2 linked regions of the Drosophila melanogaster genome follow. The protein of the gene in region 1 purifies or fractionates together with the protein of each later gene. This does not show direct contact. Each region holds a gene or a part of one and is shown on either strand. Other genes may lie near its edges. The genes, in order: pck and wrm1.

Region 1 (4,185 bases):
CGGCAGCCCGGTGCGCAGAAAAAGGATGCCCACGTCGTCGCGCATGCTGTCCGGGCTGAAGGTGTGCATGTAGGCCATGGAACTCACCTGGGACACGATGGTGCCATTGCGGTGCTCGAAGCGGTTCAGCGTGCCCAGAACCACTACGAATTCGCTGGCCCGCCGAAAGCGCTTTCTCTGATTGCTGCTGGCATGAGTTCGATCAAAAGGGAGCGGGCACCCCATGGTGGGATCACTACTTACTTGTACAGGCAGTGCGCTGCGGTCAGAACCTTTCTGGGCGCGATTAGCGCCCCGCCGCAGATGTGGCCGCTTCCAAAGTTGTTGTCGTGGCGGAGAAGGCGGATGGAGACCAGGTGGCGCGTCTCGTCCGCCTTGGCCACGCTTCCATTGATGATGCGCGACTGCTGATTCTCCTGAAGGTCCGCCGCCGCGCAGGCGAGAAGGAACCAGAACAGAATGTAGCTGCAGCCGTGCAGGCCAAACTGAGTCATCGCAGATCAGATGAGAAGAAACAGAGCGCACGAAACTCACTGAATCGAGGGGTCGAGTCTGGGAGCCAGCAGCCCAAACTAACAATTGGCAATCAGCGGAGGCGCTATCAGTTCGATAAGGCAAACATAAACATATTAGGTGTAGATCACATCCGCACCTCATCACCAGGAACATGTAGCTGGGGGTCATGATGGGGAAACCAGGGCGGAGATGATCAATCTGATCAGTACGTTTAGCTTCGCAAGTTCAAATAATACATTTAATTCAATGTTGATATGTCTCTACACCAGTTTGCTTATAAAAGGTGGAATATGGTCTAAAAATTTAAGCTGTAAACATTTTTGAGCCTATATAAAAAGTATAATGGTAGATGTGTAAAAAGTTAGTGGATCTTTTTGGTCGCACTGATCTTACGTTTAGCTGTACGTGCTATTTAATACAATTACAAACGGATACGAGCTGATCTCGGCTGAGTCGGCGTGTATATAGATACATATGGTCGATTGTTAAAGGCACTATGGACGGCGTCGATTGCGCAGATTCGAGGCACGAGATTGCGTCTGAAAACTTAAGCTAAGATCCAATCGGAACGGAATGTATGGAAGTCGGGCGGACAGCTGTTATATGTAGCCCTGCAGGCTCCGCGACTGGCTGTGGTGGTGGCGCGGCGGCTGGTAACCCGGCTCCTGCATCTCCATTTGCATTACCAGGTTCTTCTGCTCGCCGCGGGCGTCGTAGGCTTGCCGGGCCTCGCGCTGCAGGATCAGAGCGGCTAGACCAAGGAGCATGAAGGTGACAACGGCCAGGGCGTAGGACCAGCCCAGCACGTTGAACTTGGGGTACATCATCCAGTCGCGGCGGTAGGCGCAGCCCCCGAAGATGCATACGGCCAAAAACATGAACAGAGCTGTGGGAGACCGCTGTTTAGCTAGTACTTATTGGGCGGGAGGCAGATACATACACGAGATGGCGGTGCCCATGTAGGAGAGGCGGACGAGCAGCCACTCGTACTGCAGAACGGCCTTAAGAGGCAGTCGGATGATGGTAAGCGAGAGCAGGGCCAGCACAAGGAACACGATGATGAAGGACATGGTCACGAAGCCCTGCACCGCCATGAGCCAGCCGGGCAGCAGATACTCACGGATAACGTAATACTCCTGTACGAGTGGGAGAAGATCAGGACAAGGATAAGAACCGGCCAGTTTGCTGTACTCACGTGCGAGAAGATGTTGTGGCAACCGGTGAACTGCTTCAAGAACGCGTACTTGGGGTACACGAAGTCCTTAAAGCAGTACTGCCACAGGCCCATGTTCTTGAAGCTGGCCCGCGTCTCCTCGTAGGACTCGATCCAGTACGGCGAGCAAAAGGACATCATCAGCACGAAAAAGCTGGCGAATGTAACTATGGCGCCGAAGACCACGCCATCTGGAAAGGGAATTGGGCATTGAAAGTATTTGGATGCAAATGCAGATCGGCCCGCATGCTTGAGTGCGTCACTTACTGGTGGCCCGCGGATAGTCGCCCTTTTCGACGCCCGAGTCCGTGGTGTCCTGCGACTGCTGCTTGTTAAGTTCGCGCATGCTGCTGTCCTGGGTCTCGAGGGATCGCAGTTGGAGCAGAGGAGTTTCTTTTCTGGGGATTGTCAGTAAACAAATACAACGCACACACCCAAAAAATGCAGCAACAACTAGGTGGGGCTAGCGATGGGACAGTGTCGATAAGAAATGTGGTGGGGCTCGGTCGATATACCGCGAATTATTTCAAAATACCTTTTTATTAAATTTATTACTTTAGGCTTGTTGATCTTCGGAAAGAGGGGCTATTTTGCAAAATGCTGTTTAAATATAAAACAAACCCATGCACAATCGATATTTTTTCACCCCTAGGTGAGCCCAGTGTGACCAGTACTTAGTGCAGAATACCGTTCTTGGTTTTTAATTCCATTCATTTCGTTCAATAATTACTATTTTATTTAATGCTGTTTGAGAAATACGATCATGTCCATCAAATGGCCCCGTCCACCTCGTGGTGCTCCAGGTGCTTCATGTAGGCCAAGAAGCAGGTCCAGCACAGGCTGCACGCGCTGATGAATGGCACCCGGTTGCGCTCGGGGATCAGGGTGAAGTTGATGGTGGCCACCAGTGGCCATACGGACAGAGCCACCTGCAAGAGCGATGGAATTGGTGGGTTAGGCGGCAGTTCTCCCTCGAATCCCAAAAGAGTACCTTGTACGTGGGCAGGAATTTCTTGCCGACCTCGGCTACCGCCTGCTCCACCGTCTTGGACTCCAGGAGGCTCATGATAAAGTAGAAGCAGGTCATCGCGCCGGGGGTGTACGAGATCGTCTCCACCGCCGCCTTAATGACGCCCGTCCTCAACGATGTCTGCGGCCACATGGCGCTGGAAATCTGAGGAGCAATCGGAATAGGAGTAGACCTAAACAGCAGCCATGTAAACGGTCACTAACCTTGACCCATCCGTAGAGGGTAGGAGCAACAAACAGACCACCGTACATGCTGAACCGGAGCACGCGCCACCAGTCGTAGGTGCCTGTAAGATGAAGACGAGAAGGATAAGGAGCTGAGAGCTGCTCGAAAGAATGCCGACTCACCCCAGCGCCTGCCCTCAACCGTTTGCTGGATGAGGCTGCCCGTGGGCCAGATCAGGCTGTACGATATCATGCCGCGCATAATCGGGTAGCGGGTGACGAACACCTTGAAGTTTTGCCACAAAAGTGGGCCCGCCATCGCAATCTCGGCCCTGCGGAGTCACAATCGCGCGGTTGGCATCTCATTAGCATGGCTAATACTTCAGGCCCACAACTGCATGGCCAGCTCTACCCACATAAAACCCACAAGCGAATGCGGGCCCCAATATTCCATAAATTGCCCTGCTCTACCTGTGAACCGTGCACATAGATGGCCGTCATGGCTTGGCTAGCAAGGCTCGCACTTTTCTACACGGCAACCTTCCTTCTGGCAGGAGCCTCTGGCGAGGATGGAAAAATCGTCAACGGCACTACAGCTGGCCCGGGGGAGTTTCCCTTTGTGGTCTCGCTGCGACGCGCGAAGAGCGGACGTCACTCCTGCGGCGCTACGCTGCTCAACCCGTACTGGGTCCTGACAGCCGCCCACTGCGTGCGAGGCTCCTCGCCAGAGCAGCTCGACCTGCAGTACGGCAGCCAGATGCTGGCGCGAAACTCCAGCCAGGTGGCCCGCGTGGCCGCCATCTTCGTCCATCCAGGGTACGAGCCGGAGGACAAGTACGTCAACGACATCGCATTGTTGCAGTTAGCGCAGTCCGTCGCTTTGAGCAAGTTTGTCCAGCCGGTGCGTCTGCCGGAGCCTCGACAAGTCACGCCCGGAAACGCCAGTGCTGTCCTCGCGGGCTGGGGATTAAATGCGGTAAGAGAGAAGCCATTCCTCCTTCAGACTCCTTGACTATCGACTGAACCTTTCAATTGTAGACGGGCGGCGTGGTCCAGCAGCATCTGCAGAAGGTCAAACTGCAAGTGTTCAGCGATACCGAGTGCAGCGAGCGCCATCAGACCTATCTGCACGACAGCCAGATCTGTGCGGGATTGCCCGAAGGTGGAAAAGGCCAGTGCAGCGGCGACTCCGGAGGCCCGCTGCTTCTTATTGGCTCCGACACCCAGGTGGGCATTGTTTCTTGGAGCATAAAGCCCTGTGC
Region 2 (4,031 bases), on another chromosome or scaffold:
CAAGTCAACTCCTGTGATTATGGAGAGACCACATTCGCAAGTAGCAAAGTCAACCTCTAAAACATTGAAGGCAATTGGGACAAAAAAGGATTTAACATTTAACGATGCCACGGGCGAGGAATTGCTGCGCTTTTCCCAATCCCTTGCCCCGAGTCTTTGCGATGACTTCGAGACCTTTGTCATGCAAACGAACGTTACCAAGAAGACACCACAGCCGCTGGTGCCACTGCACATCGCCTGGCACAATCTCATCTGCGCCAATCCCCAACTGCACGAAAGTGTACTCACGTACGAACCCATTGATTTGCAGGCAGTTTACTTGCACCTGAAGCACATGGGGCATCGATACGATCCAAAGGACCTGAAGACCTTCTTCGACCGGCGTTGCATTATCTTTCGCTATGAACTGGGTGCTCCCGGCAAGCAAGCAGAGCGTCATGTGCGAAGGCACACAAAAAAGCCTTCTAAAAGGAAGTAGATTCTACAAGTTATGGAATTTCATTGTACTTATACCTAACTTTGAATGCATTGAATTATTTTCTAGTATTTACCTTATATTGTATTATTGAATAAGATATTGTTACTTGGTATTTTGCGATCTAAATTTATTGTATGTAAAATTGATAAAACTCAAATACATTCAACACTTTTGTTTGAAGCATTGTTAACCATTCCTATTTGCCATTTCAAGCTACCCACTAGCATCTACGATTAAAAAACACAATATTATTTTGGGGGCCGTAGATTTATTTGATGCAACTTCAAAATACAATATTACAAAACTAATGGACGAATACAAATGTATAGAGTTTGTAGTAGATACAAGACACTGATATTTTCATACGAGTAGAATATTGGACAACATTAAATGCAGCATCTGTAGACAGACTACCCTAAATGGGTATTAAATGTAAAAATACAATTCGATCTTACGGCGCTAGAAAAGACACTTGGACGGTATAAATTTCTTACGAGTCTCTACGTGAAAGGCACATTGTCAGATTGCGATTAATGGAATGGAATCGGCTCGAACAAAACTGGTTGCTAATGAAACTATTTGTACTGCATGCAAAACTGATATGGTTGGTGGGTGCAGACGGGTTAGTGGGCTCTTACAGTAGCTAGGATTAGTTTTGGGGGGAGAGAGATATATAAGAAGCAATTCGTAGCATTGCCGGCATGTATAAGTATGTAAATTAAAGGCAGGGCTGTCCAAGAAATCACCAACAATACCCATTGGTTGAATGGGATTAATGGGACACCCCTGAACACCCCAATATTAGGCATAGCTAATCTCATGCTCATACGTCTTTCCCCGCAGATCCTCGTCATCGGGAAGCGCATGGTGGCGCAAACCGCACAAACGCGGTCCGTAGCGCAGCATGACAATGATAACGCCCACGATGAACAGGGCGACGGCGGCCACGGCGGGATAAAGGAAGTAAAGAGCCATTGCTACTTAGATGTCGCTCTCGCGCTTCTGCAACTCCACGTATTCCTCGCGCTGGCGCTGCTGGTGCAAAGTGCGACCCTCTGGACGTGGTGGACGCTGGTGCTGCTGCTGGTGATGATGATGGTGCGCCGAGTGCACGGGCTCCAAGTCGTCAACGCCGATGACAACGTCGTCGGGGAACACTTGCTGATGGGTTGTGGGCTAGAAAAAGTAATAGTTTCCAAACAATAAGCCACGATTTTTCGGGCTCTGGCCAAAAAACCGAATACTCACATGGAAGCGCTGAAAGTATGAGGCGTCCTTCAGCTCAGTGAAATCCAATGGCGGCTGATTGTGGGGCGTGGCAGACCAAATGGAAACCAACCAGCGATTGCCCGTGTGCCTGTCCTGCCAGTACTTGCGATGCTTGGAGCAGCAGCCCAAGATAATGTTCAGTATTATGATCGTGCCCAGGACAACCGTGCAGATGGCAATGGTCACATAAAACGGCGAGAAGTTGCCGTAGATGTGGCCGGTGAAGTAGGGATTCTTTTCGTACGCCTTGCGTTCCTCTTCGATTGTGGACATAGTCTTATAGGGGTGTGGTCACTTGCAAGAGCCTCAATAGCCTGCTGCACAATGCTCAATGGTCTGGAGGGCAGGGGAAGAAGAGTGAGAAAGCGGTTCAACCACCACGCTGCATGCCACTTGCACCCCGAAACCAATTGCCACCGATTCCAATTTGTCACATTGGGCGTGGCGTCACCAAAGTAAACTAACTAGCAGCACCAGCAGCTCCCCACTTAGCAGCTTATATGCGGATTGCACTTACCATTTGCGCGCGATTGGTGGTCACTGAGATTGGCACAAGTCCCATTCAGGTGTGTTACACACTTCTGCTCTTAAATGTTATTAATTTCAGCCACTTTGCTGCTACGAAAACAACGCCCAAAAGCCAGGCTCAGTGTGCTAGTGATGGCACTTTGTGGACTCGCCGCATGGTTGCAAGCGATCGATAACCATTCATCGATCGCAAGTGCAGGTTGTGTAAATTTTTTACTGCATACATTTAGACATTAAGTTATTTGTTAGAATTTAAATATATTAAACAATGTTTATAAACATACAATTTAAAAATTAACGTATGTGCTATTTTTGTAACACCAAATTTACATGTTTTAAAACCCGACACGTAAGATAAACAATATTAATCTATATTTTCAAAATTAATGCGACTCGAAGAAAATATCGTGTTCATTGCGTAAAAACAGGCATATTAAACCACCATTGTAAACATGTTAAATTGCGCGTCTTCGTGCCGCTAGTAACATAATCGCACTTGCTTATCAACTATTACAGGTTTCGAAGCAATCCTAACTCAAAAACAATCCAGCTATTCAATAGCTTCAATAGATTTCCCCGATCACTGGTCGTAGGTGAGGAAGTTATCCAACCCGGTGAACTGGCGTGCCAGAGCCCGACCATCGTCGGTGGGCGTACTGAAGGCAATGCACTCCCTAGCGATCTCTTGACCGAGCACCGTGTGGCACTGGACGACTCGCAGCAGCTTGCTGGCGATCCCGCTGCGTCGCTGCAGCGGAGAAACCCAGATGCGTGAGACGCCGCAGCTGAAAGAAGGCACATTTTAGCCGTTGACAAGGGAAGGGGCATGCAGTAGGGGATGTCTTACCTGGCCGGGTAGCTTTCCTCGCTGAAGTAGTCCGTGCCATCGACCTGGATGAAACGATGGGCCTGCGAGAGGGGCTGCACCAGGCAGAAGCCTACGATCTGCTGCTTGCGCACTGCTATGAAGGCTACAAAGATCTTTGGCACAATGTACGAGGAATAGCCCAGCTCTTTGTCCACCACACCAATGAGATCCCGCAGTCTGTCGAGCCGAGCTGTCGGAGCGCGTTCGTTGATCCGTATGATGCGCCCGTCGCTGGCCCATTCTGGATAAACGGACACAATGTCCTCGTCGATCCAGCCCTTGAAGCGCAGCACATGGATGGAATTGTGGTACTCGCGATGAAGCAGCTCCTCCTCCGGCTCGTGCACGGTGTACACCAATCCGCACTGCTGGCACTGCCGTGCTCCGAAGGCCTTTTGACCAGCATCGATCTGGTACTGATTCGATCCACCCGCCGCCGTTAGCAATCTCATCGATGTATCCGGCCGACGCCGCAACGATTTCTGGACAACGGGCTGTAAGCGTTGAGTGAATATGGGGAAAAGCTTTGGCTGAACTTCCTCTACTGCTGGCGCATCCTGTTTTGGTGCAATGGCCACCGCTGTATTTTCCACTGTTTCCATCTGAGCAAGCTGCGCAGCCTCCTCGCTGTTCACCACCATGTATAAATTGTCCACAATTTGATTGGCCTCGTCCTTGTAGTCATCCGGATTTGCAATAAATATCTCAAAGTTCTTTTCGGTGCAAATATTGTTGCTAATGAGAAACTCTAGTAAAATTTGCTGTTGCTCCACGACATTGGGATCATCGGTTTGGTATGGCAAACGTTGACGGAACTCAGCAAAGGGATCAATTTCCACATCGTTCGCCTCTGGGGCATACTCAATTATATCCGGTAGCGACTCCGTT

What was found.
Region 2: the proteins of pck (region 1) and wrm1 purify together in Drosophila melanogaster (affinity purification with western blotting; one study listed by BioGRID). This does not show direct contact.

What each region holds. Positions count from the first base shown.
Region 1 is NC_004354.4:1,468,875-1,473,059, reverse strand, and holds pck (pickel), read right to left. Parts: upstream 2,395-4,185; 5' UTR 2,265-2,394; intron 2,213-2,264; exon of another isoform or gene 2,193-2,212; 5' UTR 2,076-2,192; coding exon 1,997-2,075; intron 1,921-1,996; coding exon 1,712-1,920; coding exon of another isoform or gene 1,653-1,711; coding exon 1,457-1,652; intron 1,403-1,456; coding exon 1,116-1,402; 3' UTR 735-1,115; downstream 1-734. Other genes in the region: CG14780 (uncharacterized protein), read right to left, coding at 1-184, 244-494; CG14778 (uncharacterized protein), read right to left, coding at 2,500-2,658, 2,721-2,903, 2,963-3,045, 3,107-3,242; CG32808 (uncharacterized protein), read left to right, coding at 3,414-3,899, 3,962-4,185.
Region 2 is NT_037436.4:7,332,816-7,336,846, forward strand, and holds wrm1 (wurmchen 1), read right to left. Parts: upstream 2,412-4,031; 5' UTR 2,265-2,411; intron 2,084-2,264; 5' UTR 2,021-2,083; coding exon 1,727-2,020; intron 1,655-1,726; coding exon 1,460-1,654; 3' UTR 1,454-1,459; coding exon of another isoform or gene 1,280-1,453; 3' UTR 729-1,279; downstream 1-728. Other genes in the region: mus312 (mutagen-sensitive 312), read left to right, coding at 1-478; wrm2 (wurmchen 2), read right to left, coding at 1,280-1,453; eco (establishment of cohesion), read right to left, coding at 2,856-3,060, 3,123-4,031.